4 linked regions of the Alligator mississippiensis genome follow. The protein of the gene in region 1 interacts with the protein of each later gene in a pairwise test. Links are inferred from orthologs where the notes say so. Each region holds a gene or a part of one and is shown on either strand. Other genes may lie near its edges.

Region 1 (7,290 bases):
GGCAACAGCATTGGCAAGACAGCCTGAGGGGTAGGGCCCTGCTCCCTCACCACTGCATGGAGGCAATGTGGTTGCTGTGGGCATGGCCAGGGGACCAACATGACTGCCCTTGGCGTGAGCAGGCACTGCCCTACCCCCAACTGGGAGGGTGCGGTAGCCGGAGAAGGCTGCAGCCTGGGCATCTCATTCATTATTCATGCACCAGCATCTTCTTTGCATGATTAATGACTCCAGAAGCTCGTTAGCCTCTTAACCCGGCTGGCCCACAACAATATGGGCACTGTGTCTACATGGTGCCCCTCACTCCTAGCCGACAGCCCTGCTGTTGCCCTTCACTCCTGAATGGCAGCCTATGGGTGCCCCTCACTCCCAACCTGCAGCCCACTGCACCACCCTGGTACCCCGCACTCCTGACCTGCAGCCCAGGTTTGTTGGCGGGGGGGCAGGGCAGTCCCAAGCTAGTTCTGGGCTTCCATTAGCTATTTCACCTCCTTTATTATTGATCCTGGTTGCTGGCCTTTTGCCTGGCAGGGACTTGCTGTTCCAGGCTTGCCTGGATGCCTGGGTCCCTTCTGCCTTAACCCTTCATGCTCTGGGGAAGCTCCCTGCTGCCCTCTGCTCCCTCCCCATTCCTCCACAGGGCTGGCTGATCAGGGCCTAGGGTGGAGAGGTGATCCCCAAGTAGACTTGCAGGCTGCTGGGATGGAGGGATGTTGAAAGAAAGGCAGGAGGAGAAAGAGAATAAAGGAGGGAGGGAGGAGCTGGCACAGATGGGTCAGAAGAGGCAGAAGAGAAAGGGAAGGAGAAAGCCTGTTGGTGGAAAGGGAGATCGAGATTCAGGGCCAGGCGGAGCAATACATCACACAGAGGGAGAGACAGGAGACGGGAGCCCTGGCAGAGGAGAAGACAGAGGGCGGAGGGACAGAGACAGAACCAGGCAGCGCTCAGACGGACAGAGACCAGGAGGAAGACGGTGTGACAAAAAGACAGGCCCAGACAGAGGAACAGAGCCAAGCCCGTTGGAAGGAAAGGTGAAAGACCATCTGATGGAGAGATATGAGGCAGAGCCTTGCTGAAGGGACAGCACTGGGCTCTGGGAAAGCAGGGAATGTGGAAGACCATGTAATGGAGCAATAGGGAGAGTAACGGGTGGCTCAGGGGAAGGAAATGTGGACACCTGCCTGACGGAGAGAGACAAGACAGACCCAGCCAGAGAGGTAGACCCAGGCACGCCGGAAGGTGGAAGATTGCATGACGGAGAAACAGCTTTTGTGAAGCTGGAAAGAAAGAACAAGACAGGCCCCAGGTACAGAGAGAACTTGAAGAAGGGAGTGCGGGAGGCAGCGTGGTGGAGAGAGAGACCACAGGACAGAGCTCTGATGGAGGGCTAAAGCTGGGCTGGCTGGAAAGAGCGAGCGTGGGAGGACACGGAGCCCAGGTGGAGTGAAGGGCTGGGAAGGAGGGAACATGCCAGGCTGGTGATGGAAGGATAGGACACGGAGCCTGCTGAAGCAAGACCTTCGGAAGAAGAGAGTGTGTCTGGCCAGGGACGGAGGAACAGAAGGAGGCGGGGCCTGGGGCAAGAAGGTTTGGAAGGAGGGAATGTGGCAGGCTGTGACAGATGAATAGGAGCGCACAGAGCCTGATGGAGTGAGAGGTTTGGGAGGGAACGTGGCAGGCCAGAGACGGATGAACGGGAGCACACAGAGCCTGGTGGAGTGACAGGTTCGGAAGAATTGAACGGGGAAGACGGTGACGGAGGGATAGAGGGGCACAGCCTGGCAAAGCAAGACTTGGAAGGAGGGAAGGTGGCAGACCTGTGACAGAGGAGTAGAAGGACACAACACCCAGCAGAGTGAGCGCAGGAAGGAGGGAGGGTGCCCAGCAAGCGACAGAGGGGGCCATGGCGGGCACCCCCCCGCCACCGCCACGGGGTGACATCCCGCGCAACCTGAGCTACATCGCGGGGCTGTACGAGCGCGCCTACTACCGCACCGCCCGGCCCAGCCTGGCTGACGACTCGGAGGACTCGGAGCCCGAGGGACGCTCGCGCCGCTCCACCCGGCCCCGTGCCCCCCGGCTCCGTACCCGCCGGACCCGCACCCGCCAGAGCCGTCGGGCTCACTCTGCCCCACCCGGGCCAGGGGCGGGGGCTGGGGGGGGCTCGGGGCGGGCACGCAGCCCCGGGGCGCGCAAGCGGGTACGATTTGCCGACGCACTGGGGCTGGAGCTGGCCAGTGTGCGGCAGTTCTGGCCAGCCCAGCTGCCCGAGGTGCCCGAGCGCGTCCAGGCCCAGCTACGGCGGGACTCCCTCAGCCACTTCCCACCCTGCCTGCCCTACATCAAGGTGAGGGGTGGGGCAACAGGCTGGGGTGGAGCTATGGGATTGCTAGGGGGTGGGGCTACAGACTGGAGAGGTGGGGGGAATGGCAGGGGGCTGGGGGTGAGGCTACAGGCTGTGGGGGCCAGGAGCAGGGGGGCTATGGGATGCCAGGTGTGGGGCTACAGGCTGGGGATGGAGCTGTGAGTGTGTTAGGACAGGGCTATGGGGGGCCTGTGGCTACAGGCTGGGGGGTGGGCTATGGGATGCTGCTGGAGCGGACCTACAGGCTGGGGGAAGGGCTATAAGGGTGCTGGGGATGGGGCTATGAGGCAACTGTGGGGTGGGCCTACAGGCTGGGGGCAGGGCCATTGGGGGTGAAGTGTGTGGCTACAGGCGATGGGGGCAGTGTGCCCACCCATTCGCTGCTGACCACTGTCTCTCTCCCCGGCAGGCAAGCAGTGGGGCAGCGCCGTGGGCATGGGCAGCAGCAGAGGCAGAGGTGGGGGCACGGCTGGCAGCGCAGGCGGTGGCACTGGAAGGGGCACGGGCAGAGGGGGTGGGCGTGGCGGGGACACTACGCGTGCTGGACCTGGCCTATGAAAAGCGGGTGAGCGTGCGCTACACATGGGATGGCTGGGCCAGCAAGCGCGAGGCCCCAGCCGCCTACGCCGGCCCTGCGCCACCCCCCCCTGGTGCCTGCCCACCCGCCGCACCTGGTGCTGACCGCTTTGCCTTCCGCCTGCCCCTGCCACCGCCTGGTGCCACCCTGGAGTTTGCCCTGCGCTACCGTACTGCTGGCGCCGAGTTCTGGGACAACAATGAAGGCCACAACTATGCCCTGCGCCCTACCGTGCCACTTGCTGGCTCCCCCCGTGAGCTGCCCCCTAGTCCCCTGCCCCTTCCTGACTGGAGCCGCTTTGCCTAACACCGCCCCGGTCCCTCCGGGACCTCCACCCAGCTCATGGCCCTCACCCAGACCACTGGTCTTGGCCCCGCGACTCTTAACCTGCACCCTCCACACCCCGCCTCTCCTGCAGGCTCACGGCCCCAGATGGGACCCTGGCCCCAGCCTCCAGCCACAGCCCTGCACATCCCAGCCAGGGCATCCCAGCACACCCCAGGTGGGTCCCCCTCCCCATGATCCCACGAGGCCCGTGACCCCTCCACTACACCCCACTCCGCCAGCCAGGAACACTGGCCTTGGTCCTAGGATCTCAGGTCCCAGCCAGGCCCCCCATCCCCAGCCAGGCCCCCCAGCTGCACCACAAGAAAGTGCCCTGAAATACACTCTGCCCAGAGGCACCCCCTCCTCCCCCCCGCAGCTATGGCCTGATGGGGGGCAGGACTCCCCATCTGCCCCTGAGGGCGGGGCTAGCTACACCTGGGGGGCATAGCCACCAGGGGCTCCTCCCACCAGACCAGAGGCACCCCTGCATGGAGGATGCTGGGCATGGGTGCACCACTGCCATGGAGGCCGCACTGCCTGACAATAAAGACAATGAAGTCTAGACTGGCCAAGCTGGTGTGTCCCTAGTGTTCATCTGTCTACCCACAGCGCGGGGCTGCCCGGGGTGTCTCTGGGACCCCTGTGGGGGGGAGGAGAGAACCCAGGCATCGAGCTCCCAGCCACAGCCGGAGGGGCAAGGGTGCAGAGCTACCACGGGTGACACGTGATGGACCCCAGCCCCATCTCCAGTCATAACTATTGCGCTGCCTCTGTTTTCCCACATGACCCCAGAGGTCTGGGTGCGGGGGGGGGGGGGGTTAGGAGGCGAATCGAGCAAGGGGCAAAGAGAAATGGAGGCCTGGAGGCTGTTCCCCCCTAGCCCTGCTGGTGCCCCTCACTCCCGACCTGCAGCTCCCCCCACCAGGAAGCCAGGGCACAGCTGCAGAAACAAAAGGGGGAGGGATGAAGGGAACCCTGGCGCCCGGGTTCCTAGCTCCTCCCCCCGCCCTTTCACCTCCTAGACCCCGCTCCCCCCACGGGAACCTAGGCGTCCGGGCCGCCTCCCCTCCCCCTCGCGGGGACATCCGGGGTGGCTCGAGCTCTGGCCCAGCCAATGGCCGCCGCCCTCTCCCCCCCTTTGTGTGTCGGAGCTGGGAGAGGACCCAGGCGTCCCAGCCCCCTCCCCGGCTGGAAGAGACCCCGGGCGTCCCGGGCCCCCCCGCGCCCCTAGAGGCTGCAGGGAGGAACCCACGCATCCGAGCCGCTCCAGCTGGAACCCAGGCGTCCGGGGTCCCTTAAAGGGCCAGCGCCGGGCTGGCCCCGCCCCCGCGCGTCCATTTCCCAGGCTGCATCGGGCGGAAAGTCCCAAACTTGGGGGGAAACTGGGGTCGGAGGAGGGGGCCGGTGAGTGGGGGAGGGGCAGGGGCGGGGTCGCGTTTGGGGGTCCCTGGGGGTGGGGGGCGTGCACCTGATTTGGATCGGGGGAGGAGGGGCTGATGGGGGGGGCGGCGGCTGGGAGCCCGGACGCCTGGGTTCTCTCCTGGTCCTGGCACGGCGGGGGGGACACCTGGGTCCCCTCTCTGTTTGGGTTGGGGAGGGAGGAGTGGGGCGGGCTGGAAGCCCAGGTTGTGTCCCAGTTTGTGGGGGTGTGGTTGCTGAGAGTCTGCACACAACGGTGCTCTCCTAGTTTGGGGGGGAAGGCAGGGTTTGCTGGTAGCCCTGATGCCTGGGTTCCCTTTCTGTTTGAAGAGAGAAGAGGAGGGGGCTGCTGGGAGCCCGGATGCCTGGGTTCTCTCCCTGTTTTGGCGGGGGGGGGGGGGGGGGTGAAGGTGGTGCTGGGAGCCCAGATGCCTGGGTTCCCTCCCTGCTGGGGGGTTGATAGTGGGATGTTGGGGACCCAATGGGCTAGACCAACCCAGGTCACCTGCAACTCTGGGCCCTTGGGGGTGGCAGCAGGGCAGGCACCTTCCCCACAGGAGGGGCAGTGCCCACATCCAGCGTGTGGTTCCCCATGGCTCCCTTGGGTGGGTCTGGCACCAAGAGGAGCCACCACCGGGTTCGCTGGCAAGACAGAGAATTGGCCTAGAGCAGAATCGAATCCCATGGCTCTGTTTGCTTAGAAGGGATCCACCAGATCTTTGGCCCTCATGGTGGCGGAGCTAAGCCATCCAGCTCTTTGGGTTGGCACCCTTCAACCCTTGAATGCTCCTGCCACTGACCAATCTGGAGCATGGCACAGCCGAGTTCCCCATCACAATTGGTCTTGGGGTCAGTTCTTGGAGGCCAGATTCCTCTGTGTCTTCTCCTCATGAAGGCCTCTGTGTTTGAGCGGCTTCTCAGTGTTCCCAGTTAAGCTAATGAGTATTGGGGACGGGAAGAAGACGGGAACATGGTTCTTCGGTGTATTGTAGGCCTCCCACTCCTCCTTTCTAGGAGAGCTAGAGGACTTGTATCAGCCTAGAGCAGGGGGTCAAACTCATTGGGGCCAGCTGACCTGTCTGCACGGACAGTTGGGGTGGCCAGGCCTTCTGAAGGCCATGTCCCATTACTGCATGCCCATTATTTCCTGTCCCATTCCTTGCTCAAGAGAGAGCCATCTTCGCAGGAATCATTCCCAAGATGGTGGCCGGCTCCCAAGATGGCCTCTTGAGTGCTGGGGAGCAGCCACAAGATGGCAACTGAGCAGTGACGGAGAGCGTCGCGGGACAGAGGCATCACCGAGCCCAACCATGGGGGTAGACAGAGGGGTTGGATGGTGGTGATGGACCAGCTTCACTTGCCTGGTGAGCACGAGGATACCTGTATCGATGCCCATAGGATGCTGCCAATGGTGGTTAGACGTTGCTCAATAGCTTTGTTTTGGAGGGGGCGGGGAGGTGAAGGCCAAGGGGTGGTTGGTCTGGCTGAGACTTCTAAAGGCAATATATGCCTATTACCTCCTGTTCTGTTCCTTGCTCAAGTGGGAGCCATCTTAATGGGGATTGCTGCCAAGATAGGAGTTGGATCCCAATGTGGCTTCTTGAGTGCCAGAGGCAGCCACAAGATGGCAGTGGTGACAGCAGCAACATTCATCAGATGGAAGCTGTGCTATAGGGAACAAGCAGTGAGGAGAGATGTTGCCCAACGGTAGGGATTGGCAGAGGGTCAGATGGTGGTAGTTGGTCAGCCTCACCTATGACCATGAGGAGAACCAAGTTGGCAAACCTAGGGTGTTGCCAACAGCAATTGAATGATGTTTGATAGCTTCATTGGGGGATGAAGGCCAGGTGGTAGTGATGGTTGCTGGGGTTTTCTCCCAGGGAGGCAGTGGAACAACGTCCAAGGGTCCCTCACCTGGTGATATCTTCTAGCAGTTAGTGCCCACATCTAGCTGTCGTCCATCAGGCCTTGGTTAGATCTTGAAGGAACCTTGGCACTTCCCCACATTGGGTCAAGATCGAGTCAATCCCTTGATCTTGGTTGATGGGCCAAAGAGATCCAGCGGAAGAGATCAAGCCTTGACGATGGCTGGATCTTGAAGGAACCTTGATTGCTTTCCCCTTGTTGAGTCGGGATCAAGTCTGTCCCTCACTGATGGGCTGAAGAGACCAAGCTATGCCCACCAACTCATCACCACTGGTGCCCAGGTTTCCCACAGGCCAGTTCCCGCAGCATGAACAGCTCGTCTGATGTCCCAAACATGAGCAAGGAGGTGCCCAAACCTCCTGGCCCCCAGGTTCCTCTGGCATTACCCCTTTAATTAAACAGGCCATTCTTGGACAATCAACCAGCTTGGTAATGGGTCTTTAGGAGCTGCTTTTGGCAAATAATTCAATTACCAGCTCAATTTTTGTGTTAGGGGGTCAGATCATATGAGCCATCACTTCTCATTCATTTCTTTAGTTGTCTCTGATTAGAGATAAACAAATCCAGGGCTTTTTGTTTTATTTCTCCAGGTAATTAGCATCCGGAGTAATGGCTGTCTCTAATTAGGCTCTGGTCAACTTATTGGCCTCTCTTTAAAAAAATGTTTAATTAGTGG
Region 2 (7,551 bases), on another chromosome or scaffold:
TTTTCTTTGTGCGAATATTTTGGTGAAACAATTATTTTTGCATTTCAAGCTAGTGCAAAATTTGAATGTTGTCATGCTTTCAGTGTGTGGGCATTTTCACCAAAAATGGGCTTATTTGTACCCCACAAAGAGGTTTGCCTACAGGGAGTTCACTGAAATTGATAGGCCTTTGGTCCATGTAATTGATAAGCCATATGGGGTCTACCTAAGCAAATCAGTCTGAAAGACTGGGGCTATATTAAAAGGTAGGCCATGTTTTCAAATTGTCCACGTCTGACAGTATCTCTTTGGATTGCACTCTCAGCAAGATAAGCCTTTTATTATTTGCCTTACTGCATAAAATGACTGCTTGATTTATTATGTATTATGTGCAATGCAATAATTGAATATTCTACAACTTAAGTGAGTATATCATGTCATCCCATATATGTACTGTTTTTGCATTTTGCACAAAAATTTTGTCTTGCAGGAGCGACTGGATACTTCAGACTTTTCACACAGACTATTTCAATTCACTTTTCTGATAAACAAGAACTAAATTGAGCCAGAAACATTTATTTTTCCAGCTCAATACTGCAATAAAGGCCTGCAGTAGTTAACGCCCAAACAAAACTCACAACCCTCTATGAAACAGTGTTCATTTAGTGAAATCGAGGAGGATTCCAAGTGAATAAAAGGAACTGGCAGGAGCAGCAGGAGTATTTTCAGGTGGCAAGCAAAGGCTAACTAATGGACTAGCTTTCCCAGCTTGTTTCAATTTATATTTTTGGAAAATAAATATAGGCTCAGAGTTTTTTGGGTGGATGAGTATAAAATAGTAAATTACTAACAGATTACTTCCTTAAAAAGAATTTTCCAACTCCAGTCTCAGGAAAGAAGTGGATTAGAGTATTTTAGCATAGAACCCCTCACAGGAAAGCATCTTTCCAAATACCTTACATAACCCAAGGATGAATCCTAACATTTCATTTACAGATTATTGCTTTTGGGGTTTTTTTCCAGTACAGATAACGTAAAGTGTTGTTCTTATAAACTATCATGCTAAGTACAGACAGTAAAAAAGCCTCAGGCTAAATCAATTCAATCTTCAAAGGTAGTCTAAGCTACGTAGATTGAAATGAAAAGCAAGTGAACAGACATTCACTTTTGATTCTGGAAATGCAGCAACATGCCTGCAGTGGCCCAAGCCAGAAGCCAAGGGGTGCTAAAGCATACCTTCTTACTTGGCTAGAGCAGACAGCTTGGACCAATGTTAGCCACCAACCCTGCAAGAGGGAGGCGGGTTGCAGGGGAAGTGCAAAGAATCCTGGGATATTGGGGGACTGTGAGTTAACTTGAATCTGGAGGGGATCTGGGACAGAAGTTCAGTAAACCGACTTAACCTAAATCATTTAAGTCTGATACTACATCCATCCAGGTTTACCTTAAACTGGTTTCAACCATTTTAAAGTGATTTATGTGAACTGAACTTCTGTTGTGTTACAGATTTGACCTGGTTTACTATCACTTATACCAGTTTATGTGTAATTTCTGTCCGTAGCCAGAGTTGTCTTGCTACCAGTAGTAACTGCAAGAACCTTACTAAGCAAACAGAAGGATCCCTAGGGAAAGGCTCCATTTTTACAAAGTATCCCACAGTGTAGTTACATGTAAAAACTGATTGGATGATATAGCTCCTACTGAGAACTTGTAAGACCAGATTTGCTATTTTTATTTATGGCTGAATAATTCTGCTAGACATTACTGTAAAGGAAAAGCATGAATTACATCTGTGTTCTGGATACTTTATTTATTTTTAATCGATTCTTATGGATGTTTAAGAAATCTTAGAGGTCAATCAACAAAACCTTTAAGTATTTGCTTAACCTTAGACACCTGCCTATGTCTCTTTGGCTCCAGGTACGTAAGTACTTTGCTGCATATGGATGATTTAAGTTTAAGTTTGTTTAACTGTATTGCTGAATTGGGCCTTAATATTTATATTCCAATATAATTTCAGGACCTGTGAACTCCTATACACATGCTCAGCTTTATGGACGTGAGCAGACGCACTGAAATGAATTCATTATCATGCAAAGGTATGTATCTGAATAAATGTTAACAGAATTGAGACAACTGTCTTTGCCTACAGTATTGCAGCTTGTGGAGGAAAACTTCAGCTGCTTTCAGTTAAAATTTGACTGTAAGACTAACCACATAGAAGACAGTTTGTGCCAAAAGACACCAATCCAAACTGAACTCGTTTTTTAAAAAGGCATTTAAAACCCTGAGACTGGGGGATAGGGCAAGGAAGAATATAGCCCTAATTTACACCAATGGCTTAATGAAATTGCATGAGATGTAAAATGGTGGGGGGAGGGGCAGGAGTGGGGGTGGGTTTACAGAAATTTGCAAACATGCAAACAATTTGTTGAAGCAGTTTTTGTTCAATAACTTTTTCTCCATACACATCAATTCACTTTTAATATTCTTCACCAAAGACTTAAGTTTTCTCAGGAAAAAGAAGAAACAAAACGAGACTAGCTAACAGAATTTAGTGAACTAAGTTTGCTACTATCCTTGGCAGCTAGACTAGTATTTTAAAACCAGTTAGGATAGAATGCAGTAACACTGCAATTAAGTTGCAAGGCCTTCTTTCTTTGAGAATGCATCAGGTTACAGAGGGACTGAACCATAAATGTATGCTGCAGTGAAAATTCACTGCTGTTTTGCTATGGTTTTACTTCATAGTTACAAAGGCCCACACTTAAAAGTTTTGTTTCTAAAAAAGTATAACGCTTGTTCACATGAGTATTTCCTTTCACATTTGCTTCTTCAAACAAGTGAGAGACAATTGAATAATAAAAAGTCAAAACAGAAGATGGTTTATACTTACCTCTCTGTCGTCCTGTGCCTTTGAGTCATATATGGGCTTGTGGGCTGTGACCAGCTTTCTGTAGGTAGAAATCAATGGACTTTAGCAGTTGAACATGCTGCCCAACAACAGAGCATTAAGACTCAATTTGATCTCTATAGGAAGAAAACTTTTATTGGTTGTGGCACACAAGGAAATGGGTGACATCACTAATGGTAGTAAAGAAAAGCCTCACTGCATAAACCTAAGTAATTTAAGGTTCAGCAAACCGCGCCCTACCTGTCATTTATCCTAGAGGCAGGGTGGCTGCACATACCTGCATGCACAGACTGCTTAAACAATTGTTTGCAGCTTTTCCTTTTCCTTTGAACATGCATTCAGCTGCATTTTGAGTTACATTTTCCCTTATTGTGTGACCTTCTTGCCACTAACTCTGAATCAGAGCTGAATTAAAAAGCCTAGAAATTGAATCAGTGGCAAATTATTTTGTCCCGAACTGGTCTGACACTGGCAAAGCTCGCTGAGATCTTTTGTGCCATTTTTAAAATTTCTTTACAGGGCAAAACATAAGACATGATAAGTTCTTAATTTGCAATACCCAGGTGTCAGGAACATCAGGTTGGGTAGGTTTGTTTTTTCCTGCTTTTTACTGAAACACCTCTGGGAGGATTGTGAGCACATTCATTGTGAAAGCCTAAACCTTAACTGCCAGGACAAGTGAGCTGACTTTAAACAAAGACTTCTCTTGTGCATAATGTTAGCCAGTCATTGTAATTACACAGGTGTTAGTAAAAACAAAGACTTTTTAATGAGTTTGAGTAGAAATCATTTCTGTTCCTCAACTTTCACTTCCTCAGCCTTGCAATGTGACCACTTCACTAATTCTCCAGTCATTATAGAGCTCTCAGACAGAGATTGTTCTAATAGAAAAAAAAAGCAGGAAATAAAGTGTAAAAATACCTCATAGACCTTTCAAGCCTTTTTTACATAACAAAGGTACAAAAAACCAAAACAAGCCCTCCCCTCGCTCCATACCCTCTTGTCCCCGCCTCCTCCCCCCCCCCACACAGCTATTCTGCAGGACACTTAATTTGCATGCCTCAGTTTATCTATGTATAAAATAGGATGGGTATCTTTTTACAGGTACATATTTTAATGCCTTTAAAACATTTCAGTATCTGCAGAAGAAAGGTGTAGTGTAGGAACTAAATATTTTTTTAAAAGATATTTTTTTCATGTCTTCATGACTCCATCAGCGATCTGGAATATGGCATAGAGTGCATCCTCAGCAAGTTTGCAGATGACACCAAGCTGGGGGGAGCAGTTGATACAATGGAGGGTAGGGCTAGGATTCAGAGTGACGTAGACAAATTGGAGGACTGAGCTGAAAGAAATCTCATGAGATACAACAAGGAGAAGTGCAAAGTCCTGCGCTTAGGACAGAACAATCCCATGCAGGCTAGGGACTGACTGGTTAAGCAGAAAATATATCTGCAGAAAATGACCTGGGGGATACAGTGGACAATAAGCTGAATATAAGCCAACAGTGTCCTTGTTGCAAAGGAGGCTCACAGTATACTGGGCTGCATTAGCAGGAGTGTTGCCAGCAGATCAAGGGCAGTGATTATTCTCCTCTATTCAGCACTGGTGAGACCACATTTGGAGTACTGTGTTCAGTTTTGGTTCCCCACTAGAGAAAGGATGTAGAGAATTTGGAAAGAATCCAGAGGAGGGCAGTGAAAATGTTTAGAGGACTTGGGCATGTGACATTTAAGGAGAAGCTGAGGGAACTGGGATTATTAGTCTGGAGAATAGAAGACTGAGGGGGGACTTAATAGCAGTCTTCAACTATCTGAAGGGTGGATACAAAGAGAATGGAGCTAGAGCAGTGGTTTTCAACCTTTTTTCATCTGCGGAACCCTAAAATATTTCAAATGGAGGTATAGACTCCTTTGAATTGTAAATGTGGGTATTCACATACTTTTGATTGATCATAGTAATCTTTTGCGGACTGCCTAGACATAGTCTCTGGACCCACAAGGGGCCAGGGACCACAGGTTGAAAACCACTGAGTTAGACTGTTCTGTGGTGATAGATGATAGAGCAAGGAGCAATATCTCAAGCTGCAGCATGGGAAGCTTCAGTTAGATATTAGGGGAAATGTTCTCATTAGGAGGGTAGTAAAGCATTGGAACAAGCTACCCAGAGAGGTTATAGAATCTCCATCCTTGAAGGTTTTTAAGACCCGGGTAGACAAAGCCCTGGCTGGGATGATCTAGTTGGGGATGGTCCTGCTATGAACAGGGGTTGGACTAGATGACCTCCTGAGGTCCCTTTCAACCCTAATTTTCTATGATTTATGAAGTAAAAGCACAATTACTTGAAGTTTTACTAATATGCTAGGGACATAGCACTATAATATTTAGCTTAAAATCAAAGCAAGAACACATATAATTATTGGAATGTGCACTAATTTGCTAGCTTCTATATAAAATTTAAAGAAAAACTAGGCAAAAATAGTTAAAATAGTCAAAAGATATTGTGTCATTAGTTCTGTAGTCACTATAGTTAAATGCATATCTTTGATTCAGATTCATAAAAACAAAATCTAGCCTTGAGTGTCTTGACAGTATCTCCAATACTTTACTGTCAGTTATTTCTACACCTGTGTTAATAATACCACACCTGAGTAAAGGTTTTTATCTAGTGCTAAAAACAAATTTGCAGGGCTATTAAATAGTCATTTCTGGTAATGTCTCTCTTCTAACAGACCATAAAACTGCAGAAGAAAGGATTGTTTGAATAATGAAACATCAAGACCTTTAAAAAGCATCATAGGCAACTGGTAAGGGGGTACATGGGGGTGCACATGCCCCCCCTTATGGGGCTGGTGCCTTCCCTGATGGCCGACACTAATGCTGTAGGCAGGGCTGGTGCCCCCCCATGACAGGGCCGCCTCCAGATTCAGGAGGCACCAGTCACTCATGAAATGGATAAATAGTTATTAACACCTGTGGAGTGGAAAAAGATAAGCAGGAATCAGGGAGATGACAATGAGCCACGAAGTCAATTGACTCTCTCAGCACTGGTTGAATAGAAATGTCACTGCCCTTCCCAACCAGTTGGTTTTAAAGTTTGGGTGGAGAAGAAATTGAGGGAGTAGAGGAGGGTGCAACTGAACCACTGCACCCCACTGGGTCTACCCCCATAAATATTTGTTTTTGAAATTGTTTCCATCAATCCCCTCAACAGAATGCAATAGTTGTATATTATCCAAATTCACAGAGATACTTTCCCCTTTCATTTTAACATTAGATTTCAAATGTGAAAAAGCTCTACACTTGTTCTGGGGGTGATGCATTTGGTCAGATGCCACTGACCAATAACAGCATATGAGTTGAGTAGTTTGTATGGTTCAGGTTTGAACCATATGAAAAGGCAGAAAATAAAAGCAATACCTGTATAGAAAGTGAACTCCTTAGGAGCAAATAGCTGACAGCGCCAGCCAACCATTTTTTGGGTCTCCCTGTAAGAAATAGTTTTGGGGCCCCCTACCCTGAAGAAGCCAGCAGCGGCGTTGACAGTGGGGGTGGGGGGAGGGGTGGTGAGTGGCTGGACGTGAAGCCAGTGGCAGTGAACAGCCGGACGTACACACGCACCCCCCATGAGAAAGTCTGAGTGGGGGAAGGAAAAGGGCCATGTGGGGGAGCGGCATTGCCTGGTGCTGCACCCCAGTCCCGGCCACCTCCCAGCCCCAGCCCTGGCTGCCTCCCAGCTCTGGCTGCACCGGCCTCAGCCCTAGCTGCCTTTTAGCCCTAGCCACACCAGTCCTGACCCTGGAAGCCTCCTAGCCACACTGGCCCTGGACCTGGTTGCCTCAGCTGCCTCCTGGCCCTGGCACCTGTCCCAACTGCCTCCCAGCTGCACTGGCCCAGGCCCCAGCTGCCTCCCCACACCGACTTTCTCCCCACCATGGCTTCTACCCCACCCTGGCCCTGGCTGCCTCCCCACACTGGCCAGGGGTGCCCAGAGCTGGGGCTGAGAGCGGGGTCAGCCTTGGCTGTACTGCCAGACTGGAGTGGATGGAGCCCCTGGGACCCCTGCGCCTGCCCTGCTGCACCCTGTGTCATCCCCAGGAAGAGCCAGTAGCTCCTCCAGAGGCACAGCACTGGGCAGCTAAGGAGGGGGACAGCACATAGCCCCCTTATCTTTGCATGGGTGAGGACAGGCTACAGCTGTGAGCTTGGCACAGCCCTATGTCTCTGTGCCTCACCACTTAGAGAGACGGGGCACAGGTGGTCATCTTGTCCATCCTCCCGGTCAGAGGTTGCAGTAGGCATCACAGCGCCTGCATCAGAGAGGTCAACCTGCGGCTCAGAAGTTGGTGCCATAGCGCAGGATTTGGTTTCCTGGACCACGACCCACACTTCCTGGCAAGGGACTTCCTGGGGTGTGATGGACTTCACCTCTCAGTGAAAGGTTAAAGTCTTTTCTCTAACAGGTTGGCTGATCCCTTACATCGGGCTTTAAACGAGCTCAGATGGGGGACAGGGAGGAAGAAGAAGGAGAACATCAGGAACCTGCAATCCATGGAACAGCCAGCAGAACAGCACAGGTAAGCAATAAGCAGGTAAGCAATAAGGGGCCCATTGGGCATCAGAGCCAGGGGGCAACAAAGGTGCCAGTCACAGGGCTCA
Region 3 (7,522 bases), on another chromosome or scaffold:
ACCTTTGACCCCCCAGCCTGGCTGGGACCTCCCGGGCTCCCACGCAACTACACCCCACCTGAGCTCCCCGCCCGGCTGGGTCCCCCCTGGAGCCCCCCGCCACATCTGGCTGGGACCCCCTGATCTCCCCCGGGCTCCCCCTTGAGCTCCCAGCCGTGTCTGCCCACCCCCCGGGTGAATGGGGGGCTACGGGGTGGCAGAAAGGGGCCCAGAGCGCCCCCCCATGGGACCCACGCAGGGACACGGACACGACCCCGTCCCACAGAGCTGCTGCAGAAAGAGCAAGGACCCCCCCCGGGGGGGTGCGGCGGGGGTAAATGGACTCTGGCAGGCTGGACGGACCCCCCCCCCCGCATGAATGGCCTCTTCCAGGATGGTCAAAGCCCCCCCAGGGGTGAACACCCCCCGGGGCAAAATGGACTCTCCCTGCAGTGAATGGACTCTCCCGTGGGAGCGAAAGCTTCCCCCCCGGGCAGAATGGACTCTCCTAGGGGTGAATGCCCCCGCGATGGGGCAGAATGGACTCTCCCAGGGGGTAAGAGCCCCCTCGCTGGGGTGAATGGAGTGTCCCAAGCGAGTGATTGCCCCCCACCCCCACCCCCGGGCAGAATGGAGTCTCCTAGGGGAGGTGAGCCCCCCCACGAAGTGAATCGACCCCCCCTCCCCCCCGTTGGACAGAATGGACTCGTCCCAGGGGGTCTCCCACAGTAGAAGTGAGCACCCCGCTCCGGATTGGAATGGACTCTCCCGGGGAGGGGATGAAGCCCCCCCCCATGTGAATGGACCCCCCCCGGGGCAGCATGGACTCGTCCAGGCGCTGGGGGGCGTCTGTGTAATAAAGGGACCTTCACGCACGAGCCCCAGTGTTTCTTGGGGGGGCTGCCCCCTGCCCCCTCCTGACCTTGGGTTCCACCCCGGCCCCTGGGAGGGGGGTGGGGGCCGGTGAGGTAGGGCTGGGAGGCCCGCCCGCCCGGGCTCTGGGACAGGGTGGGGGGCCCGGCCGCCCGGGTTCCCTCCCGCTCCGTGGGGCCGGGGTGAGAGCCAGTGCTGGGCTGGGTTGTTTGTCTCCAGCTCTGTAATTAGGAGGTAATTAAAGATCCCGGGGCCTGGAAACCCCCTGCGGTGACCACCCCCCCCCAACCGCGGACCCCCCTGGAGCTGCTGGTGCCCCTCACTCCCGATCTGCATCCCCTGTCCAGCCCCCCTCCCCTTGCCCCCCACTCCCGACCTGCAGCCCCTGCCCCGCCTCGCCCTGCCTGTGCCCCTCACTCCTAATCCGCAGTGCCCTTGCCCCCCCATGCCCCCCACTCCCGACCCGCAGGGGTTAAGGTGCCCCCGAGGGGAGGGGGGCGTCTCTGGCTCAGTCCCGCATTAGCTCAAACTGGAAACAGACGCGGGCTGATGCAAACAGCTGGGGCGGGGGGAGCCCGCCTGGACGCCTGGGTTCACTCTAGTTCTGGGAACGGGGCGGCTGTGGGGGAGAGCAGGGGCCGGGGGGCCCGGAGGCCGGGGGGCCATGGGGCCTGGGGGGTAGTGGGCGGAGGGGTCGGGGGAGCCCGGACTCCTGGGTCCTCTCCAGGGCTGGGAGGGGGTGGGGGCTCACACCCATGTGCAGGGAGCCCCAGGCAGGCAGCCTGGCAGGCCTGGTGGAAACACGTGATCACACACAGGCGCGCGCACACACACACACACACACTCGCACGCCTTGTTTGTTCCTGGGGCTGGGTCACGGGAGTGCAAGGAACGCACCAGGCAACAGCTGCGTGTGTGTGTCCTGGACCTTGGGTTCTGTGTGCGTGTGCACGGGTGCGTTTGTGTGCGTGCGTGTGTGAATGCACGTTTCACAGATGCCTGGGTTCCGTGTGTGTGCCCTGAATGCCTCTGTTCAATGTGCACGTGTGTGTGTCTGTGTGCATGCTGCATGTCTGGTTCCGCCTGGGTTCCAGTTCTGCGTGCAGGGCATGTGTAAGTGTATACACAGGGCCTGCATGTGTCTTTGAGCACTGAGCGTGAGTGTGCGCTGTCCAATCTGGGCCATATGCAATGTGTGTGTGCACGCGCGCCCCTTAGACCCTGGCTGTGGGCATGCGTCTGATGATGTGTGTGTGTGTGTGTTTGTATGCCCCTGTGTGTGCACATGGCTGTGTGCATATGAAGCGCCGGTGCCCCTCGCTCCTGACCCGCAGCCCCGGCTCTGTAAGCTGAGCTCGCTCTCGGACTGCGGGGGAGGGGGCAGGAAGTGGGGCGGGGGGCCGCCGGGTCTGCAGCGGCAGCCAAAACAAACAGGGACCCCCAGCAGAGGGGGGCAGGGGCTGCGGGTCGGGAGTGAGGGGCACCCAGGGGGTCTGAGGAGCTCAGGGGGCTGCATGTCACGAGAGAAGGGCACTCCCAGCCCCCCCACAGAGCTGGAGGCTCTCAACCCCGCATGGAGGTGCCCCTGGCCCTCAGGGGTTGGACTGGGGGCGAGTGTGGCCTGGACAGGAGCGGGTCGGGTGTGTGTGTGTGTGTGTGTGTGTGTGTGTGTGTGTGTGTGTGTGTGGGCATGTGGGGGGGGGTGGCTCTTGCGGGTCCCCGGTCGCGGGGGGGGGGGGGGCGAGATCCGGCCTCCCCAGCTGGTCTGGGGTCTCTGCCCAGGACCACGCTCCCTCTGCCCAGCTGCCCCCAGGCCTCGGGGCCCAAGCACGGGGGGCAGGCTGCAAAGATCCGGGGCACGGGGCTCGGAACCCAGGCGTCCGGGACACGCAGACTCCCACCCGTGCGCAGCACAGACACGAAGGGGGCAAGAGCCGGACGCCTGCGTTCCCCCGCAGTGAGCTCGGCGGGCGGGCGGGCGCGCGCTCCAAGCCGGGACGCCTGGGTTCCCTCTTGCTGCGGGAGGAGCCCGGGCCAAGGGTCAGGGCAGGGGCGGGCCCGGACGCCTGGGTTCCCTCCCGGCCGGGCGGGCGGTGCCGCGGGCCCCCGGGAAGGTGAGTCATGGATGAGCTCAGTCCAGTCCGGCCCGGCCGCAGCTGGGGGCGTCACCCCCCCCCCCGAGAACCCAGGAGTCCGGGCCCCCAAACCCCCTTGCTCCCATCCCCCCCCGGCCCGCAGGGACCGGATCCAGGCTTCCGGGCTCCCACGCTCCCCTGCGCGGCCTTCCACGGGCTCCAGGGAACAGGGCTGGGGAGTCACTGCGCACAGCCCCCCGCCCCGTGGCCCTGTCCTCATGCGACCCCCACAGCCACGCCCCTGCTCGCGCACAGGCCTGAGAGCCCAGGCGTCCGGGACAGCCCTGCCGGTGCCCCGCATTCCCGACCCTGCCTCCCCCAGCCCTGCCGGTGCCCCACACTCCCGACCCTGCCCCCCCCGACCCATCCCCGCCGGTGCCCCGCACTCCCGACCCTGCCTGCCCCAGCCCCGCCGGTGACCCGCACTCCCGCCCCTGCCCGCCCCCCATCCCCGCCGGTGCCCCGGACTCCCGACCCTGCCTGCCCCAGCCCCGCCGGTGACCCGCACTCCCGCCCCTGCCCGCCCCCCATCCCCGCCGGTGCCCCGGACTCCCGACCCTGCCTGCCCCAGCCCCGCCGGTGCCCCGCACTGCCGACCCTGCCCCCACCAGCCCTGCCGGTGCCCCGCACTGCCGACCCTGCCCCCCACCGGCCATCCCCGCCGGTGCCCCGCACTCGCCCCCTAGCTGTCCCGTGTCCGCACTGAGTCCGGTCTCTCTGTGCTGCTGCTTGGGGGGGGTGCTGCTCTGTCCCGGCTGCTCCACCTGGCCTCGCACACGCCGGGCACACGCGTGCACTTGCACACACGTCCCCAGCCCAGAGAAGAGGCAGGCCTAGAGCAAACGTGTTTTACACACGGAGCCTCTTGCACCTGTGTATGCACGTGTGTGGCGGTATGTGGACATGTGGCACGTGTGTGTGCCTGCCTGCAGCACACACATGCAGCACGTGCCTCAGCCCCACACACACACACACACACACACACACACACACACACACACACGGAGCAGGTGGGTGCACATGGATCAACACATGTAGCTCACAGAGCACAGCACATGCGTGTGCACAGAGCAGGTGCTGGGGCACCCACGGTCTTCCTATGGCTCTTGTACACACCCCCTCACACACACACATAGTGGCGCACATGTGTGAGCATCTGATTATATGAATACCGAGTTTCACGTGTTTCTTGTCATATGCATATATATTCATACCTGTGAGCAGAGGCCTGCACGTGTGTGTGCGTGTTCAAATGCGTATGTGCAAGTGTGTGCCTGGCAGGCGAGCGTGCTTAGCAGCATGCACGTATAGACGCCTGTGCCCGTGGGTGTTGGCATAGCATGTGTTCATGTATGTGTCTGTGTTCATACATGAGCCTGACAGGCCTGGGTGCGTGTGTACATGTGGCCCTTTGCGCGTGCACACGTGTGTCCCTGGGAATACATGTGTGTGCACCACCACCCCCTTACACTCGGAACATTACAGTAACGGGGCGGCGCTGGGGCTGGACCCCGGGAATCCCGGGATGAGGGGCAGAGACTACACCTCCCAGCATGCACCGGAGCCGGGGAGGCCAATCCATCCCACAATGCCCCGGGCTGCAGCGGGTCGCGGGGGGGGTCCACCCATCAGTCCATCCACCCACCCATCCCAAAATGCACCGGGGATAGAGTAGGAAAGACCTCCCAGCATGCCCCGCGCGGTCAGTGGAGGGGGCAAGTATCCCAGCATGCATCAGGGCCTCGCGGGGGGTGGATAACGTATCCCGGCAGGCCCCGGGTGGGGCGGGGAGGACTGCAGCTCCCAGCATGCACCGCGGCTTGGAGGGCGCCCTTCTGGAGTTGATGACGTTCTGACTCCGGGAAAGAACCACCTCTCCCAGCAGGACCCGGGGGCGGCAACGTCGTGCACCGTACGAAGAACTACAGTTCCCGGCCTGTCTCGCGCCTGGTGACGTCACTCCGCGGCGTCTCGGCGGCTGCGGACGTCGTTGACTACAGCTCCCGGCGTGCCCCGCGGCCCCCGGCATCCCCGCGCGCTGCACGTGTGTCCTTGCCCCCTGGTCAGTCCGGGCGCGGGCCGGGCTCGGTGGTGCGCCTCGCTCCCGCCCGCCCGCCCGCCGCCGCCGCCGCGCCATGTTGCGCTCGGCCGTGGTGAAGCGGTCCGTGAAGCGGGTGGTTCCCAGCAACCGCATGAGAATGATCCTGGGCGCGGGGCAGGCGCAGCCCGGCCCCCCGCTGGGCCCCGTCCTGGGCCAGGTGAGCCGGGCCCTGTCCCGGGGCAGGGAGGGAGGGACGCCTGCGGCCCGTGGGGGAGGGCTGGAGCCAGCACCGTGCGTGCCCTCCAGCTGAGGGGGGGTCCCTTGGATGCAGCCAGCTCTGGGGAAGAGCTGGGCCCAGGCGGGGGGGCGGTTCTGGGGGGTCCAGCCGCCCCTGACCCCCCCCCCCCCCCCCAGCACGGGATCCCCATTGGCGCCTTCTGCAAGGACTTCAACGACCGAACCAAGGACATCAAGACCGGCGTCCCCCTGCCTGTGCGCATCCACATCAAGGTGCTGCCGCAGTCGGGACCCTGGTGGCCCTCAGCCCCCGCCCCCCAGCACCGCTGTGTGCCCCAGTCCCCGCCACACACCCCTGCGGCCCCGCTCAGACCCACCCACATCTCTGGCGGTGCCCCCCCCCACCAGCCCTGCTCTGCCCCTGGGCCCTACATCTACTCTGGAGCCCCCAGGTCCGTCCTAGGTGCCTTCAGTGCTTTTCTATGCAGACCCCCGCCACAGCCCCCAGACACCTCTCTCAGCCCTGGCAGCTCCTCTCAGGCACCAGGTCTTCTCTAAGACACCCCCCCCCGCTTTCCCCCAGGCATTGCGGTTATGGGGCACCCTGTTGCCTTGACACCCCCCCCCCCAGTCACCCACAAAAACCCTGGGGCAAGGTGGGCTTGGGGCAGGGGCCAGACACTTGGGTTCCCTGGGGGCGAGGAGCAGATGCTGTGAGGGCTGGGCTGGATGTGGAGGGGTCCCACAGGGCTTGGGGAGGGCTGGGGCAGGACATGGGGGGTGTCTGCTCAGGGTGGGGGCTGTTGCAGAGGCATCTGGGGGAAGGGGGCATTTGGGAGATGGGAGTGGGGGGTGGTGTTCAGGAGCTGACGGTGTCTAGTGATCCCTGCAGCCGGACCGCACCTATGACCTGAACATCCACCCCCCCACGACCTCCTACTTCCTGCTTGCGGCCGCTGGCATCGAGAAGGGCGCGTCACAGCCCGGTGAGGGGGGCGTATAATGGGGGTGGGGGGAGGCTGGCCATTCCCCATCCCGCCCCCCAAGGGCATGCAGAGGTGGAGGCTGCTCCTCACCCATGGATGTGAGGGGGTCTCAGGCTGACACCCCCTCCGTGAGGGGGAGGGGAGGTCCCAGGCTGATGATGTCCCCTCACCTCCCCAGGGCACGAGGAGGCAGGGGTGGTGTCGCTGTCGCAGCTCTATGAGATTGCGCAGGTGAAGATTGAGGACCCCGGGTTCAAGCTGCGTGGGAAGGGCCTGGAGGACGTGGTGCGCTCGCTGCTGGGCTCAGCCCGCTCCCTCGGCCTGCGCGTCGTGCCCCGGTGAGCCCCTGGACGCCTGGGTTCTGGGGGACCAGAGGGGCAGTGCTGGGAGCCCAGTTGCGTGGGTACTTTGGGGTGGGCCAGCAGCCTCAGTACCTTGTTTCTGGGTGGGGCGGGGGGGGCAACTGCTGGACACTTCGGTCCCTGACATGCTGCCTTCCCGCCAGGCTCACCGTGGAGGAGTGCACCACCTTCCGCCAGCGCCGGGCAGACGAGCTGGCAGCCCAGGCTGCGGCCCTGAAGGAGGCTGAGGCTGCCAAGTGACTGCTCGGACCCCTGGGTTCTCCACCAGGTTGCGGGGCCTGGGAACTGGGGGACCTGGGGTCTCCCCTGGCTCCGGAGGTGCCAGTGCAAGCCCTGTCCCCCTTGGCCTGGCTGGTCAATGGTGAAGCTGATAAAATAAACGCTTGAGACCTTCCCCGGCTCCTGTGAGTGAATCTGCCGGAGAAGCCAGAGGTGGAGGGGGCGGGGCTGGTGAGCTAGGGGGCAGGGCAAGTAGCTGCTGTGGAGGAAGTGGCTTGGGGAGAGGGGGACATGGAGGGGTTGGAGAAAATGCGGGGGACAAATGTTTGGGGGGCAGAGGGCTGAGCAAGGGGCTGGCATGGAGGGAGTGGCCAAGAGGAGAGGCAGGGCCAAGGGTCATGGGGACCAGGGCTGGTGCCTGCTCCTAGGGCTGGGCAGGCGGTTGGGGCTCTCCCGGAGTGGGGCCCGGTGCCTGGGTGATTCAGAGCTGCAAGGGGGAGAGGAGGGAGCTGTGCTGGCCACCCATAGTGGTGGGACAGGCCCTCTTGGGTGCGTTCACCCATGTGTGTCCATGTGGAGTTGGGTGTGAACATATGAGGAGGCACATGCAGGCATAGTGGGTGGCGTGAGCATGTGTGTGCAAGTTGGCAGGGTGGTGTGTGCACACGTGCAAGCATATGTCAGATGTGC
Region 4 (7,562 bases), on another chromosome or scaffold:
TACATATTTAAATAACATTTTAAAATAACATTAGCCAAAGCTATAAGTGATCAATTTTAATCTGTGAATCTTCAACACTTTATACATCAAGAGACTCCTTTAAAACAGATCTAGCTCCATTCACTCCTATTCTTTTGAGCATTAAAAATAAAAATACACTGTTCTTGTATGCTTTAAATATTTTTTTTTTACTTGTATACTGAAAATTAATCCAATACACTGTTGAAAACATATTACAGGCAGTCCTCGACTTACAACGTTTTGCACTTACAACATTTATAAATTCACACCCTGTTTCAACTTTATGATGTCATTTTCAACTTACAACGCTTGATCCGATGCGACACCTAGCCAGTGAACAAGTTCGCTGTGTCGCCCATCTCCCTGGAGAACATCTGTCCAAATTTCCTTGGACACTTTCTTTAAGAAAGCGGACAAGACTCCAGAAAAACCTGCAGCTAAGACTCCTGAGAAGACTCCAGCCAAAAACCCTTCAAAAAGTCCAACCAAGAGCCCTTCAAAAAGTCCGGTGAAGTCACCTCAAAGAAGTCCTTCCAAATCAATATGATTCCTATTTACAATATAAATACATTAATGTAGCTATATTACTCATCTATAATTGATCGAGTACAAAATTCTGGGGTATTGTTGGTGAAAATAGGGTATCGGGCCTTGGTTCAAGAACCAATCCCCCATTTATAACACTGTTTCTTATGAGAAAATTGGTTCTGAGTTACAACATTTTGACTTAAGATGCGGTTTTCAGGAACCAATTGTGTCATAAGTATGAGGACTGAGGACTGCCCGTGTAACCATGTTGCATTTAGTTAAAATGATGATTCCTTTCAGAACAAAGCATGAAATAGATATTGCAATGCTCCAAAACTTGACAAAACAACAAAATTCACACAGATATTAGGGGTGCACCAATAAAGATTTATTGGCCAATGCCAATAGCCGATGATTAACCAACCATATTGACCAATGCCAATCGAATAACCAATATGTAGTAATAGTGCAAGGCACTTTAAAGTACTGACATAAATAAACCCTTTTTTGTTTGTTTTGCACTTATAACACACACACACACACACGCACACCTCCTGACTGCTCCAGCCTTCACCTTATTCCCTTGCACATCATCCCCTTGGCCACAGCTCCTACCTGCAGCCCCACTCCCTGCACACCCTACGCTGCCATCCTGGGTGGGTGGGTTGGACCTTTGAGCAAACAGCGGTGCTGGGTGTATTTAGAACCCCACAGCACGCTGTTGCCTCAGTACTGGCAGGCCCTCTGCAGCTGAGCTCCCATGGCCAGCAGGGAGAAGCTACTTTTGCAAAGGCACCTGGTGTTCAGTGGAGCAGAACATCCCTCACGAGGCACCTTACCCCTCCCACACAGCCAAACGTCTCTGCGGCAGGCCTGGCACTCAGGCCCCTGCTGTGCGTACAGCATTTGCATGGCAGTGGCAGCAGGAGCTGGTAACAGTCCCTTCATTGCTGAGCAGAGTGCCCTGTGACCACTCCCTGGTGCTAGCTCCTTCCACCGCTCACCAGTGTAGCAGAAAGCCCCCTTTTCCTCTTGCCTGCATTTGCTTTCCCCTCTCTGGATATATTTCTCTTTTTCTACCTTTTCTTCCTTCCTCTCTCTTTCACTTTAAGATAAGGAATTGTGTTTTAAAATTTGTACGTGTGCATTTTGTATCTCCCCTTGTAGTTTGGTATTTTTATCTATTTGTGTGCCATGACATTTGTAGCTTATATTTATACTCCTCATCTTTCATATTTCAACTGAATGTATTTAGTTTCATAAGTAAGTTATACATTGTAACAATGTTAACAAGGGCAGGAATCAAACTGTCCTTCCCTGTATCAGGCTGGCCCCTGAAAGAGCAAGTGAATCAGTGATTCAATGTGTAACATGGTAGCAGACAGAAATTAACACCTGGGAAACTCCAGATCAACCAAGGGAAGAATTCAATAGAAGACAATGTAACAACCGGGAAATCTCTAAACATCACTGATCAAGGGCTAGAAGCCCTGGCCTGAGTTAATCAATGCCGGGGACCAACTTTTGGGCTAAATATCTCCAGATCGACCACTCCCAGAGCCCTATTCAAAATTCATCAACAGACTCCCAAACCTGCATGTACATGCGGATGACCCCTGGGGCTGACAGATGCCATCCAGTAGCCACCGGGGGGGAGGGAGAAGTCCCACGAGGGTCAATGACCCCTGGATTGGGCAAACCTGAAAACTGGGGAGTCACCAAAGTCTGCCAAGGACAGATAAAAGGCAGCAAAAAGTAACCCTCAGTGGCGCCCTCTTGATCTCCAACTTGACCAGCACCCGACCTCTCCAGCCAGAAGGACCAGCCGGCGACCCCCTTCTGGATGATAACACCACGCTGAAAGAAGCCTCTACTGGCCATCGACGGCAGACTCCAGCGCTAGTAGGATAGGTGTACCTGACTCTGTAGCTTGCTACTGTGTGTGTGTATGTGTGTGCATGTGCGTGTGTGTGGGTACCAGACCCAAGGTTTATGATTTAACTCATTACAGTATTTCAATCCGCCTAATAAACTAGAATTTTAAGGATCCCGAGTTGGACATTTGTAGCCAACACCAGGACCTGTAGTATGCTGCAGGCTTGGGCCAGCAGTGGGGCACAGGGAACTAGACTATGCTTGCCAGGATGCTCTGGGCACACGGCCATAATTATCGGCTAGAAAGACCAAAAAATTATTGGCTACGAAGTGTAAAAGCTGATAACGTCATTTCTCCTTTTATCGCTGCCGATCCGATAGCCAGCTGATACACCTATGCACCTCTAACAGATACTTTTACAGATGACAGAGTTGTGTCTTGTATTGAAGAAAACATGATCCTAAATGAGAGTACAATATACATGTTTGAAACTGCAATTACCTTTCTCCCTTCTCACGCTTTACGTTGCCTTTATAATCAGCCCATGTGCTCTTGTCTGAAAAATCCCCAGATACAAATTCTTGCAAATCAGGTCCATTTTTCAGAAATTCCTTTTTTTCATCTGGCAAAGAACTTGACGCTCTGTCCTGGCTACATACTTGGGTTCCAAGCACCTATGGGGAGTGTAACTATATTATTTATTTTACCACTAACGTGCTACAGTATACATTACATAAATGCTCGTACGCTATGACAATTAAAAGGACTTTTTTACAGAGAGGCCAGAAAACGAATATTTTTGGAGCAGGTACTTTCTTATGTACTAATTTAAGGTCAAATTCAATGGATGACTGTGCACAACTCTCAAAGGGAGTGCTGAGTACACATCGAGTGGTAAAACTTGGCTCTTGTTTTCAAGTCCAAGAATATGCAAGGCTAGCCAGGCTATATGTACCTCCTATGAGCAGACTGAGGGTATAAATCTTTCTGGGCTCAGTCCTTTTAAAGGGGACATAGACCTGGCTCCACCCATCAGTTTCAAGATGTGAAAATCAAAACAAGGATCAGACCCTGGGGGGGGGGGGGGGGGGGGGGGGGATTATAAAAACAAGATGCCTCAGCCAAAGGAAACATCCTACAAAGCCCACAAATCTAGTCTATAAATAAGGGCAGGCAATTATTTCAGTAAGCGGCCCTCCGCCTGAGATTTGACAAGCCATTGAGGTCTGCATAACAGGCAGCCAAGGGCAGATAAATATTAATTTTCTAAAAATTTTAGGGACTTCGCGGGCTGGATAGAATGGCCTGGCGGGCCGCGGGATGCATTTTGCCCACCCCTGCTACAGAAATATGAACAACCGCATGGTGTTTTCAAGTCAGAAATGCTACAGACAGAGCGCAGATGCAAAGACCGGCCCTGTCCACCTTCCAAGACGAAAACTGCTGTTGTCAGTTAGCTCTGAAAGCTAATGACGGGTGGTGGGAAAGTCTTAACCTGCAGCCAGGTAACACCCTGCGACAGGACCCTCCGTGAACAACCCAACGTCTGTGGAGGCCTTGACGGCAGGATCCCTCCGAGCACGGGAGGAAAGACGCAGCACGGGGCTAAGAGCTGGGTGAAACTGTGGGGAAAGGGTCCCACGACGCCCCGGAGCCGCTGCTGCGGGTCTCCGCGCTGGCCTGCCGCCCCAGGCGCGGGGGAGGGGGGGCCGGGGGCAGAGGCGGGACAGAGCAGCTCACGTTTCCCCCCCGTGCTGCGCACGCCCGCTGGGCAGCCCCCGGCCCGGGGACGTAGCGGGGCAGCTACGACCTGCACCCACGCCGTGCGGGGGAAGGAGGGGGTAGGGGCACGGGGACGCCCGGCCTGGGGGAGCAGGGGCTCCGCACCTGCGGTGGCCTCAGCGCGGCGGCCCCACGGCAGCAGCGACCCCGCAGCAGCGCAGACATCGCCGCCACTCGACCAGCTCGGCGCGCCCCTGCTTCCGCCTGACCCAAGGCCGGGGTCCTTCTACTAAGCGGCGCTCAATTCCTCTTGCCTGCGAGCGGGCTGCCGTGCGCCGTGACGTCAGCCCGCTGCGGCCGGCTACAAGTACGTGATGACGCACGACGTCCCCCCTTTCCTCTGCAGCGGCCGCCAGGTAAGGGCCCCCGCCACTATCCGCTGCCATCCGCGGCGCGCAGATCCCTGCGCGGCTCGCGCGCCCCCGCCCCGGCTCGGGCAGCCCCGCCCCTACGATCGCCCCGCGCTCCCCTCCGCCGCGCGCCTGACCCGGCCAGGCTCGGAGGGCCCGAGGCAGCGCCCTTTCCTCCCCTCCTCCCCGGCGGGCCCAGGCGGGTGCGTAACGCGTGACCGCTGTGTCGTCCCCGCAGGATGAAGACCATCCTCAGCAACCAGGCCGTGGACATCCCCGAGAAAGGTACGTGCTGCCCCTTACCCCCCGCCGGCCTGGCCCGGCCCGGCCCGGCCCGGCCCCACTCACCCCCGTCTCTTGCAGTGGACGTGTCCCTGAAGGGCCGCACCGTGATCGTGAAGGGCCCGCGCGGGTCTCTGCGCCGCGACTTCAACCACATCAACGTGGAGCTGTCACTGCTGGGCAAGAAGCGCAAGAAGGTGCGTGCCCCAGGGGTGGGGTGGGGTGGTGGGGGTCGAGGCCAACCAGGTCTGTGGGGTTGCTTTGCAGGAGTGCTCAGGGCCCCTTGTGCATCTTGGGAAAGGGACCCGGTTCACTGCAGCGCGGAGCCGTCGGGGTGCTCAGTAGCCACCAGCTCCTCTGAAGCACTCCCCGAAGAGATGGATAACTCCCCGGCTCAGGCTTGTCCTTGCCCAGCTTGTCCCCCACTCCCGCAGCCTGGCAGCTTTTCAGGGACATGAGTGGCCCCGATTTAAAAAGCAAATTGACTGTATTGCAGTGCTTAAGTCATAGAAATTTTATGCGGAGGGGTGGCCTCCCAACCAAAAAGGCTGAGAACTGCCACCCTGAACAGAGCGAGGGCTCCAGCATAACAGAAGCTGAGAAAGTAATGGGGCTGAAGGCAGAACTTTGAAGATACAGATGTGTCTCGTGTATGAGGTGCCAGGCTTTGAAGTTCAGTTTTTGGGTGCATTTGGTGCTCACTTGTAAGGAGCCTAGATATAAAATAAAATGGGCCACTTCTCATAGGAAGTCTGATTTCTTGTTTAAGTTCTTCTTGGGCAAGATGGTCTGGGAGCATCGTTTATCCCAGAAGACTTGGTTGTTTAGGACAGCAGTGCTTTTTCTGAATGTGGCAATGGCAGCTGTGTGCTGTTTGTATTGCACAAGTATTTTTAAAGCACTTGAGCATTTTTGCCACTGGACAAGATCAAAACTAAGCACTACTATTGACTTCCCCAGGTTGTTGGCTATTTGAAAGTTTACAGAAAAAGAAGTAACTTGTTTGCTTGTCTTTCAGTAAAAGGTGACCGAACAGAGGTTTGCTTTTGCCTGTTCAGTGTTTAATACTTGCACGAATATTGTTCATCGGAGCATCTTAAAGTAGCTGTATCAGTATCATTTTTGCAAGCCCTTTGGTGGTAACTGTTAACATGTCATTGTTACAGAACTGGCCACAGCAATTAACTGATTTGACCAAATTTATAGTGAAAGGCAAAATATAATGGTGAGCACCAGAGTTGCATTTCAGTGCTTTGAAGTCCTTTTGTAGAAAGATGGAGCAGTTTTTTTTTCTAGGTTATTTTGAGGCTGTTCAGTTCTGTAGTTCAGCTCTTCTGAATTAAGAACAGATGTTTTCTAGAAAGAATAAGAATTTCAACTGACGACTTCTTAAACTTCTATTATAGCTACGTGTTGACAAATGGTGGGGTAACAGAAAGGAGCTGGCAACAGTTCGCACAATTTGCAGTCATGTGCAAAATATGATAAAGGGTGTCACACTGGTAAGTCTTATTTTGAGGTAAATTATTTGTTGTTTCCTTCATGCTACTAGGCAACTTTTTTCTGAAAGGAGAATTGTGTGTTCCAAAAAAAATTTTAACTTTTTTTTTTTTCCTGCATACATGTGGTAATTGAGAGAACTTTAGGTGTACACATAAACCATGTACTTTATATTCAGCAGGTAGTGTTGAACAACTAAAACTAAAATGATAACCATGTCTAAAGTAGAATTATTTGGCAATTCTTAACCGTATCGTTACGCAATTTGAGTGTTATTGTTAAAATCCTAAATTTGATTAATTCCTAGGGCTTTCGTTACAAGATGAGGTCAGTGTACGCTCACTTCCCCATCAACGTAGTTATACAGGAGAATGGCTCACTTGTGGAAATCCGTAACTTCCTGGGAGAAAAGTATATCCGCAGGGTGCGCATGAGACCAGGTGAGTGTGTTCGTGTTAGTGTTGCTGAGCAAACCTTATGTGGTGTTTTGGGCACTAATTTGGTGTTCTGGTTTTTGGAACAAAGCTGTTCCTAATGAGATTAAAAGCTGTTAACACCATAATAGAGATTTATTTAACAGACTAGTCCTGATGAAGGTAAATATTTTCAGTGAGCTACGAAGGCTCAATATTTCATCAGCAAGATGACTCCGGTTCTTTTTTCAGGGTGTAGTAATGTGCATTAAAGCATTTCTGAATTCTTGATTTTTAAATTTTTTTTTTTAATTAATTAATTAATTAACTTATTTTTAAGTCTTGTTTTGTTTGTTTGTTCTCCCAGGCATGCATGACAAGCTTCAGAAGTTTTCTTTTCCCTGTTTTTAGCTTTGTGATGAACGTTCTTCACTACACACATAAATGCGTACACATTTAGTCTGGGTAACAGTGGTGAAAATGAAGATAAATATCCTGTTTGTGGCTTTTGGCACTTTAGGGTGATTCTACTGAACAAATGGATTCATCAGTAATTATAATGCGTCTGCCTGAGCTTCTCTGAAGATAGAAAAGAGACTGTTTTTTCATACAGAGTTTAAAATTTCTAAAAAGATGTAAAATCCAATTTCATAGAATATTAGTCTGGGTTTTGGAGAACAGTAAATAACATTTGCTTTTTTTAAATGTTAGAATGTGTGGGGGACAACTTCTCAAGCTAATGTAAATGAAATCACTCATACTGGCTCATTCAGGGTTTGCTAATGTGGATTTAATCTACAGCTGAGTACC

Evidence for each region.
Region 2: the proteins of HOMEZ (region 1) and LNX1 interact in binary tests that used the Homo sapiens proteins (3 or more experiments, as listed by UniProt). The link is inferred for Alligator mississippiensis from reciprocal best matches to the Homo sapiens genes HOMEZ and LNX1.
Region 3: the proteins of HOMEZ (region 1) and MRPL11 interact in binary tests that used the Homo sapiens proteins (3 or more experiments, as listed by UniProt). The two-hybrid records come from large-scale screens. The link is inferred for Alligator mississippiensis from reciprocal best matches to the Homo sapiens genes HOMEZ and MRPL11.
Region 4: the proteins of HOMEZ (region 1) and RPL9 interact in binary tests that used the Homo sapiens proteins (3 or more experiments, as listed by UniProt). The two-hybrid records come from large-scale screens. The link is inferred for Alligator mississippiensis from reciprocal best matches to the Homo sapiens genes HOMEZ and RPL9.

The regions. Positions count from the first base shown.
Region 1 is NC_081830.1:7,415,795-7,423,084, reverse strand, and holds the start of HOMEZ (homeobox and leucine zipper protein Homez), read left to right. Parts: upstream 1-4,288; 5' UTR 4,289-4,673; intron 4,674-5,115; exon of another isoform or gene 5,116-6,052; intron 6,053-7,290. Other genes in the region: PPP1R3E (protein phosphatase 1 regulatory subunit 3E), read left to right, coding at 1,904-2,347, 2,775-3,248. UniProt on the Homo sapiens protein: May function as a transcriptional regulator.
Region 2 is NC_081825.1:59,244,547-59,252,097, forward strand, and holds the start of LNX1 (E3 ubiquitin-protein ligase LNX), read right to left. Parts: upstream 3,008-7,551; 5' UTR 2,876-3,007; intron 1-2,875.
Region 3 is NC_081838.1:5,407,253-5,414,774, forward strand, and holds MRPL11 (large ribosomal subunit protein uL11m), read left to right. Parts: upstream 1-4,886; 5' UTR 4,887-5,122; coding exon 5,123-5,245; intron 5,246-5,442; coding exon 5,443-5,538; intron 5,539-6,157; coding exon 6,158-6,251; intron 6,252-6,429; coding exon 6,430-6,589; intron 6,590-6,756; coding exon 6,757-6,853; 3' UTR 6,854-7,006; downstream 7,007-7,522.
Region 4 is NC_081825.1:50,709,398-50,716,959, reverse strand, and holds the start of RPL9 (large ribosomal subunit protein uL6), read left to right. Parts: upstream 1-4,544; 5' UTR 4,545-4,563; intron 4,564-4,795; 5' UTR 4,796-4,796; coding exon 4,797-4,842; intron 4,843-4,920; coding exon 4,921-5,036; intron 5,037-6,245; coding exon 6,246-6,341; intron 6,342-6,646; coding exon 6,647-6,779; intron 6,780-7,562. Other genes in the region: LIAS (lipoyl synthase, mitochondrial), read right to left, coding at 2,927-3,099, 4,313-4,372.